Sus scrofa: one gene and its partner. Each later gene encodes a partner of the first gene's protein in a complex. Links are inferred from orthologs where the notes say so. Each region holds a gene or a part of one and is shown in the gene's direction. Other genes may lie near its edges. The genes, in order: COQ7 and COQ4.

Region 1 (4,568 bases):
AGCTGTGGTGTTGGCCGCAGTCGTGGCTTGGATCCCGAGTTGCTGTGGCTGTGGTGTAGGGTGGCAACTATAGCTCCAATTTGACCCCCCACCTGGGAACTTCCATATGCCAAGGGTGTGGCCCTAGAGAGACAAATAAAATAATAAAAAGTTATATAAGAGTTGATCATAAACTATTAAATTCCTGCACTGTATTAAAGTAATTTGAAAACAATTAGCAACTTCAATTACTTTACAATGGCAGTGTATGTTAAATGTGGGGATTTTTTGGCCCCACCCATGCCCAAGGCATGCAGAAATTCCTGAGCTAGGGATGGCATCCACACTACAGCAGTCGGCAGTGACAACATGGATCCTTGAACCACTAAGCCACTTGGGAACGCCTTAAATGTTTTGCAATAACTTGGATAAAAGATACATATAATCCAAAGGTGTAAAGTAGAACATGAAAGCCCCCTTCTCACCTCCAACCCTCTGAAGTTACCATTACTGGACATTTTGTTATACATCCTTCCAGATGTGCATCTTTGATTTTTTTTGGCCCTCATACAGATTACACATTCAAAAAATTATTTCTGTTCAATAGAGTTGTAGAAGGAGGATTGCTATATCAATGGATATGCATTTATTAAAATGTCCACCAAAATTTTTTCTTAGTTTATTTTCTTAGAGCAGTTTTAGGTTCACAGCAAAAGTGAGGAAAGTAGATTTCCTATATACCCTCTGCTGCCACATTCCCCCAGAGTGCTACGGTTTGTTACAATTGATGAGTCTACATTAACAGACCGGATATAGTTTTGATTTCAGTTCCAGAGCAGGAGTTGAATCCTGGGCCGCAGTGGTGAGAGCCAGGAGTCCCAACAACTAGACCACCAGGGAACTGGTGAATAACTTTTAGAAGTGTGAAATACGTGGAGTTCTTGCTGTGGCTCAACGGTATTGATATCTGCAGTGCCAGGACTCAGGTTCAATCCCCAGCCTGGCATAGTGGGTTAAAGGACCTGGCATTACCACAGCTGCAACAAAGGTCGCCACTGCCACCCGGATCTGATCGCTGGCCCGGGAGCGCTAATATACTGTGTGGCGGCCAAAAGAAAAAAAAAAAAATTATGAAATACGTTGCTAAATCTCACCTCCCCAGCCCTCTCGTCAAGAAACCAATTTGCATCAATACGTTCACACTAACAGTAAAGTGGATATAATAATATTAATAATGTTCTTTGTAGAAAATTTAAAAAATAGAGAAAAGGGCTAAGAAGAAATTTAAAATCGTCTGTCAACCCCCAAAATACCTGGAGATACCATGCAGTGAACTGAATTCCAGAATGTAATTTCTGGAAGTGGATAAAGGCTACAAATAGAGAAAAGTCTCCTATGCTGGTAAAGCATAAAATATGATGGCTATGCCAGTAAATAATTCCCTCACGGTCCTCTTTCCCAGGAACGGAGGTTAGGTAGTAATCCTGTCGCTATCTTCTAAAGAACAATTTAGCGTTCTCATCTCCATGGCAACCCTTCACCGGGCTCCTGAGTGATTGATAATGGTCAGATCCAATAGGATCTTTCCATTTGACACTCCCAACCAATCGAGTGGAAGCTGGGCGCTTAGGGGCGTTTCCACCTACGCAGAGGCGGGCTGCATCTGCCTTACGCCAGCTGTACGTCATCAGTCAGTGCCGAGGGCAAGTTGGGCTCACTATTCAAGGAGTGGGTACCCTGTTGCGGGGCCATGAGCTACGCCGGGGCAGTGGCGGCTCGCTGCTTGTGGCTTCCGCGCACGGGGGCCCCGCGGCCCCTTTCAGGTAAAGTGTGAGAGCGATGGCTGCCCCGCGCTGGGCTGGCGAGCAATGAACTTTTCTCCTGAGGTTTGGGTCGGAGAGGTCACGGCGTAGACGTTTATACGTCACGGGACTGCGACCGAGCGCGAGCGGAAAAGCAGGGCTAGGCTTGTAATGTGTCGCCGGCCCGCTGGGCGGGAAGAGAGTGGTTTTCTGATGTGACGCTCTGTGGTGCCGGTTCCGGGTTAGCGGGTTGGGGGAATGACCTAATTGCACACCTGTTCTCTGACGTCACTGCAGGTGTGGTCGGCGTTCCAGGCTGAGCAAAGTTGGCGACCTTGAAAATTTAGCGTCCCATGGGTGGGTGTATTCCCATAATCCGCAGCGTCGGCTTCTTCCCAGCTCCCCAAGGGAGCTTGGTAGAAATGCGGTTTCTCAGGTCCCTCGCCTGACCTACTGAGTCGCCATGTCTGTATTTTAACTAGCCCTTCGAATGCTTCGTATGCATTTGCATATTTTGAGAAGCACGAAATTGGTGGAGCATCGAGAGAGACTTGGGCTTGGATCCTGGCTCCTCTCCTCATTTCGTCCCAGCGGCCTCAAAATTGTGAGGTCGTTTTCTGGAAGTTAAGTCATTCGTCTACCACCTTCAGGATGGTTGCATTATCGCAGTACCACTTGTATTTTTTATCACTTTTTAAAAAATTAAACCGTGTTCTGTTTTTAAATTAAATGATTTCACGGAAACCCTATCTTTACGGTAAGCGGAGAACCAGGATCGCACGTCCCAAGTAAAGTACTTGTAAAAAAAATAAATACGCTGAACACAAGTTGTTGTATTAGATACTGCTGCCTACCAAGGCTTGAACCTGTCTTTCTGGTAAGAATGGGAGGTTAACAAGCGTTAGGAAGTGTTCAAGTTATGTCACCTTTACAGCCTCGTTGATGAAAGCAAAAGGATTGGAAGAGAATAACTAAATAACATGAGTGTTATTTAATGCATGTGCATAGCCACTTAAGATCGTCCCATAAACCATTTGAAGTCACACATCGTTGATATGTGTTTCACATTTTGGGAAAACACGAATATAAAATGATGCATTTGAGAGCTTCTAGCAGTGAGCCTCAGTTTTATTTTTAAGTGTGTGAGTGCAGGCAAAACCCAGAGGATTGTTGAACATGAATTTTAATGCTCTGTTGTTGAGCCAATGACAGAATTCTTCTTCTTTTTTTCCATTTTTAAAAGTATTGATTTATAATGTTGTGATTCTTTTTCATTTATAAAGCTACTTTGCTTCCTGTATCTCATTTTGTCTCCATGATAACTCAGTAAGAAAGGTTTTATTATTGTGTTTTCCCTTAAAAAGAAAATAACCTGATTGGTCCTAATTTTATATGTAAGAAATGGCAATTCCAAATTGTCTAAGGTCTGTGTTAGAGATAGGATATGTATTTTCTGTTTTTTTTAATTTGAAATTTTTAAAATTGGAAGTTTAGTTGGTTTACAGCGTTGTGTTAGTTTCCGGTGTACAGCAAAGCGATTCAATTTGCTGTATATCTGAAATTAACACAACGCTGTAAACCAACTATATCTTATACACGTATCTATATTTCAGATTCTTTTCCCTTATAGGTTATTACAAAATATTGAATATAGTTCCCTGTGCTATACAGTAGGTTATCATTGGTTATCTGTCTTATATATACTAGAGTGTATATGTTAATCCCAAACTCCCAATTTATCCCTCCCCCAGCCCCTTTCCCCTTTGGTAACTATAGGTTTGTTTTCTGTCTGTGAGTCTGTTTCTTAAATAAGTTCATTTGTGTCACATTTTAGATTTTGTATGTAAGTGCAAGCATATGATCTGCCTCTCTTTCTGACTTCACTTACATGATAATCTCTAAATCCATTCATGTTGCTGCAAATGGCATTATTTCACTTTTTAATGGCTGAGTAATATTCCATGGTATATATGTACTACATCTTTATCTATTCCTCTGGCAATGGACATTGAGTTTTTTCATGTCTCAGCTGTTGAAAATAGTGCTGCTATGAACATAGAGGTGCATGTGCATGTATGTGTGTATGTTTATATATATGTATGTATATATTTTGTCTTTTTAGGGCCACACCTGTGGTATATGGAACTTCCCAGGCTAGGGGTCTAATTGGGGCTGCAGCTGCCGGCCTACACCACATCCACAGCAATGCCAGATATGAGCTGCATCTGCAACCTGCACTGCAGCTCATGAGTACCACCGGATCCTTAACCCACTGAGTGAGGCCAGGGATCGAACCCACATCTTCATGGTTACTAGTTGGCTTCATTACCGCTGAGCCGTGATGGGGACTCCCACATGCATCTTTTTGGATTAGAGTTTTGGTGGACATTTTAATAAATGCATATCCATTGATATAGCAATCCTCCTTCTACAACTCTATTGAACAGAAATAATTTTTTGAATGTGTAATCTGTATGAGGGCCAAAAAAAATCAAAGATGCACATCTGGAAGGATGTATAACAAAATGTCCAGTAATGGTAACTTCAGAGGGTTGGAGGTGAGAAGGGGGCTTTCATGTTCTACTTTACACCTTTGGATTATATGTATCTTTTATCCAAGTTATTGCAAAACATTTAAGGCGTTCCCAAGTGGCTTAGTGGTTCAAGGATCCATGTTGTCACTGCCGACTGCTGTAGTGTGGATGCCATCCCTAGCTCAGGAATTTCTGCATGCCTTGGGCATGGGTGGGGCCAAAAAATCCCCACATTTAACATACACTGCCATTG
Region 2 (3,814 bases), on another chromosome or scaffold:
CGGATCTGCCATTGCTGTGGCCGTGGTACAGGCCTGCAGCTCTGATTCAACCCCACGCCTGGGAACTTCCATATGGCCCTATAAAGGAAAAAAAAAAAAAGGCTGAGTTAGGATCTGCCTCTCTCCCCAGCTTTAATGCCCTGGGCAAATCATTTGACCTCTGAGCCTCAGACCCCTTCTCTGAGATTAGGAAACCTAATGTTTATCTTCCCAGGCACTTATCTGGCTGATGACTAATGGATGTTAAGGCTGCTGGCTTTGGGATTCAGCAGGCTTGTCTCAGAGTCCGATCTTGGGTACACTGCCTTATCTCTCTGAGCCTCATTTTTCTGATTGGTCCCTGAGGGTCTTAACAGTATCTACCCCTCGATGGTGAAAGATGCAAGATGCCAATATGTGTAAAGGACTTCATTCTGGCACAGAGCAGGGACTTGGGAAGTGTCGGCCATCACTGATCACCTTCAGCTTCACAGCAGGTAGAACTCTGTAGAGGAAATTGGGACCAGGGACCCAGTAACGTCACACACAGACCATGGCACGAGCCAGCAGCCCCAAACAATAAAAGCATCAAATCCCTTGGCCTTGGACAGGCTGAGGCTGGGCTTTAGCAGTAGGAAAACCAGGCTGTCCCGACTCTGCAGGGGTCTTCTGAGACTCAGAGAGGCGGTGGGTGGGTAGGAGGAAGACTGTTGTCGTCCCTGCCTGGGGTCAGAAAAGCATTGGTTGCTCGCCGTTTACACATGCAGTTACAAGGTGATGGGGGAGTTCCTGTTGCGGTGCAGCAGAAACAATCCGACTAGTATCCCTGAGGACGCAGGTTCGATCCCTGGCCTCACTCAGTGGGTTAAGGGTCTGGTGTTGCCGTGAGCTGTCGTGTAGGTTGCAGACGTGGCTGTGATTCAACCCCTAGTCTGGGAATTCCCATGTGCCTCAGGCAAGGCCCTAAAAAGCAAAAAAAAAAAAAAAAAAGAAAAAACAAGAAAAAGAAAGAACAAGGGAAAGAAAGATAGATGGATAATGGGAGTTCTCTTGTGGCTTAGTGAGTTAAGGATCTGGCATTGTCACTGTAGCAGCTCCAGTCACTACTGTGGCACAGGTTCGGGCCCTGGCCCAGGAACTTCCAAAAACAAACAAAACAAAAAAAGATGTTTAGGAGTTCCTGCTGTGGGCAGTGGGTTAAGAACCTGACTGCAGCAGCTCTGGAGGTTGTGAAGATGTGGGTTTGGTCCAGCCCAGCACAGTGGATTAAAGGTTACAGCATTGCAGCAGCTGCGGCATAGGTCAAATCTATGGCTCACATTCAGTCCCTGGGAGTTCCCGTCGTGGTGCAGTAGAAATGAATCCGACTAGGAGCTATGAGATTTCGGGTTCAATCCCTGGCCTCGATCAATGGGCACTTGTCAGCCATTAAAAAAAAGAGGTGTTTATTCACCAAGGCCCTTCAGATACAACAGTGGGCAAAACAGTCAGCCTGGTCCTGTGCTTCTGACAGGCTGCTGCCATAGTGTTCATTGCAGTAGCATCCAAGCCTCAGAGGTAGTTTAAAATCGGCTGCTAGCCACTTTAATAAAAGCAAAAAGAAACAATTTTAGTAACACAGTTTGTTTAACCCAATCAATGTACTAAATATCATTTCAACCTGTAATCAGTTTTTTTTTTCCAGCTGCCCCCACAGTACATGGAAGTTCCTGCACCCAGGGATCAAATCTGAGCCAAAGATCTGGCAACGGTGAATCCTTAACCCACTGCACCAGGACAGGGGTCAAACCTGCACCTCAGCAGTGACGCCAGCCACTGCAGAGACAATGTGGGGTCCTTAACCAGCTGTACCACAGCAGGAACTCCCCAATGTTTTTAAATTACCAAGGTTTCACAATAGCTCTATCCATACCAAGTCTTCGAAATCCAGTGTATTATTTTACATGTAGACCACACCTCAATTGGCATTTGTGCTGTTTTAAGCCTCAGTGGCTGCCGTGATGGGCTGCTGGACAGTGCAGGGCTGCAGGAGAGACACTGACAGCCACGTGTGCTAAACCTCACAATGCAATCGCCTTGAACACCACACAAAGTACAGGATGCCAGCAGGGACCGTAACATGGACCTGGTCTGTCTGAAGGTGGGACAGCCTCCCTGCAGAGGGGACACGTCAGCCCGGTCATAAAGGATAAGATAGGCATGGTCAAGGTGAAGATAAGGGTGCTGGGAAGGAGCAGCTCATCTGAAGAATTAGGGGCGGAGTTCCTGTTGTGGCTCAGCAGTTAACAAATCCGACTAGTGTCCATGAGGACACGGGTTCGATCCCTGGCCTCACTCAGTGGGTTAAGGATCTGATGTTGCCATGAGCTGTGGTGTAGGTCGCAGATGCGGCTTGGGTCCTGTGTGGCTGTGGCTGTGGCGTAGGCCGGCAGCTATAGCTCTGATTGGACCCCTAGCCTGAGAAATTACATATGCAGTGGGTGTGGCCCTAAAAAGAAGAAAGAATTAGGGGCCTTGGGTGCTCCTTTTTTTCCCCCAATTTAATTTATTTTCTTTTTTATTGATCAGTTTTGTTTCATTATTATTATTATTATCATTATTATTATTATTATTATTAATTTTGGTCTATACACGGGCATGCAGAAGTTCCTGGACCAGGGATTGAATCCACACCATAGCAGCAACCCAAGCAAAAGCAGTAACGACACCAGATCTTTAACCGGCTAGGTCATCAGGGAAGTTCCCCGTTTTATTTCTAACTGGGGTTTTTAAAAGTGGTTACTATCTTAACCACTTCTAAATGGGCAGTTCGGGAGGGTTAAGCTTACTTAACACAGCACATTGCTGTGAAACCAGTCTCCAGAGCCTTTTCATCTTATAAAACTGAAATTCTATACCATTAAATAATTCCCTCTCTCCCCCCCTCGCAGAGGTTTCTTTGCCATAGATTGCCAGTGTACATCATATGTGAGTTGGGGGCGGGGTGGGGGGGATGCCAGTTCACCATCTTCCTGCCTGAGAATACACCCATCCGCATGTGTGGACAGAAAGAGTTTCCAGGGATTTTTGGTGGGTTCCATGTGCATTTGGTAGGCATGGGTGAGAGGGTCCAGGAGAGGCTGGCAGTTGGATGCTGGGAACCATCCAGAAGGGGTCTAGGAGAGGTTCATGGTTGTCAGAGGGTCTCCCCAGACACCCGAGCACCGACGCGATTCGTGGATGACGAGGAGCTGGCGTACGTGATCCAGCGGTACCGGGAAGTGCACGACATGGTCCACACTCTGCTGGGGATGCCCACCAACATCCCGGGTGAGTGCCAGCCGTGGCGGGGATCCGGGTCGGGGTGGGGCGCTCCAGCTAGCCTGCTCCCGGGTCTGTCTGCAGGGCCAGGGCAGGGCTCACCTGTCTCAGCCACCCACCCATTAGCAGGCTCGGTGCCCCGTTTCTTGCTTTACCTGAATACCTGGGTGCCTCTGCCCTGCATCCTCACTGCCTCTCTGGCTCCTACGTGGCCGTAGCTACATCCTAACAGCAGGGCTCCCTGCCGTGTCCTGGTTATTAGCTCCAAGCTCTGAAGCCCTCACTGGTTCCCTAAGGCCTGGGCTCCTCCCCATGGCTTTTGGGATCCTCTGCATTCTGACCCGAGCTGCCCTTTCCAGCCCGTATTTCCTTCTGCTCTTTCTTGGACCCTCTTCCCAACCGCAAGCCAAGTGCCCCTGGTCCCAGCACAGGCCGGGACTGGGCACTGCTGACCCCCGGTAGAGGTTGGAGGGAAGCAGATGCCTCCCGGTGCCCAGCCCTAAGCATCACGGGCCTCTCCTTCTGGCCCTGCTCA

The links.
Region 2: COQ7 (region 1) and COQ4 share a complex: the UniProt entries of both Homo sapiens proteins name them as parts of the multi-subunit COQ enzyme complex. The link is inferred for Sus scrofa from reciprocal best matches to the Homo sapiens genes COQ7 and COQ4.

Annotation. Positions count from the first base shown.
Region 1 is NC_010445.4:26,364,342-26,368,909, forward strand, and holds the start of COQ7 (5-demethoxyubiquinone hydroxylase, mitochondrial), read left to right. Parts: upstream 1-1,664; 5' UTR 1,665-1,729; coding exon 1,730-1,802; intron 1,803-1,914; exon of another isoform or gene 1,915-2,134; coding exon of another isoform or gene 2,135-2,138; intron 2,139-2,513; exon of another isoform or gene 2,514-2,538; intron 2,539-4,568. UniProt on the Homo sapiens protein: Catalyzes the hydroxylation of the 5-methoxy-2-methyl-3-(all-trans-polyprenyl)benzoquinone at the C6 position and participates in the biosynthesis of ubiquinone.
Region 2 is NC_010443.5:268,763,068-268,766,881, forward strand, and holds part of COQ4 (ubiquinone biosynthesis protein COQ4 homolog, mitochondrial), read left to right. Parts: intron 1-3,158; coding exon 3,159-3,288; intron 3,289-3,814. UniProt on the Homo sapiens protein: Lyase that catalyzes the C1-decarboxylation of 4-hydroxy-3-methoxy-5-(all-trans-decaprenyl)benzoic acid into 2-methoxy-6-(all-trans-decaprenyl)phenol during ubiquinone biosynthesis.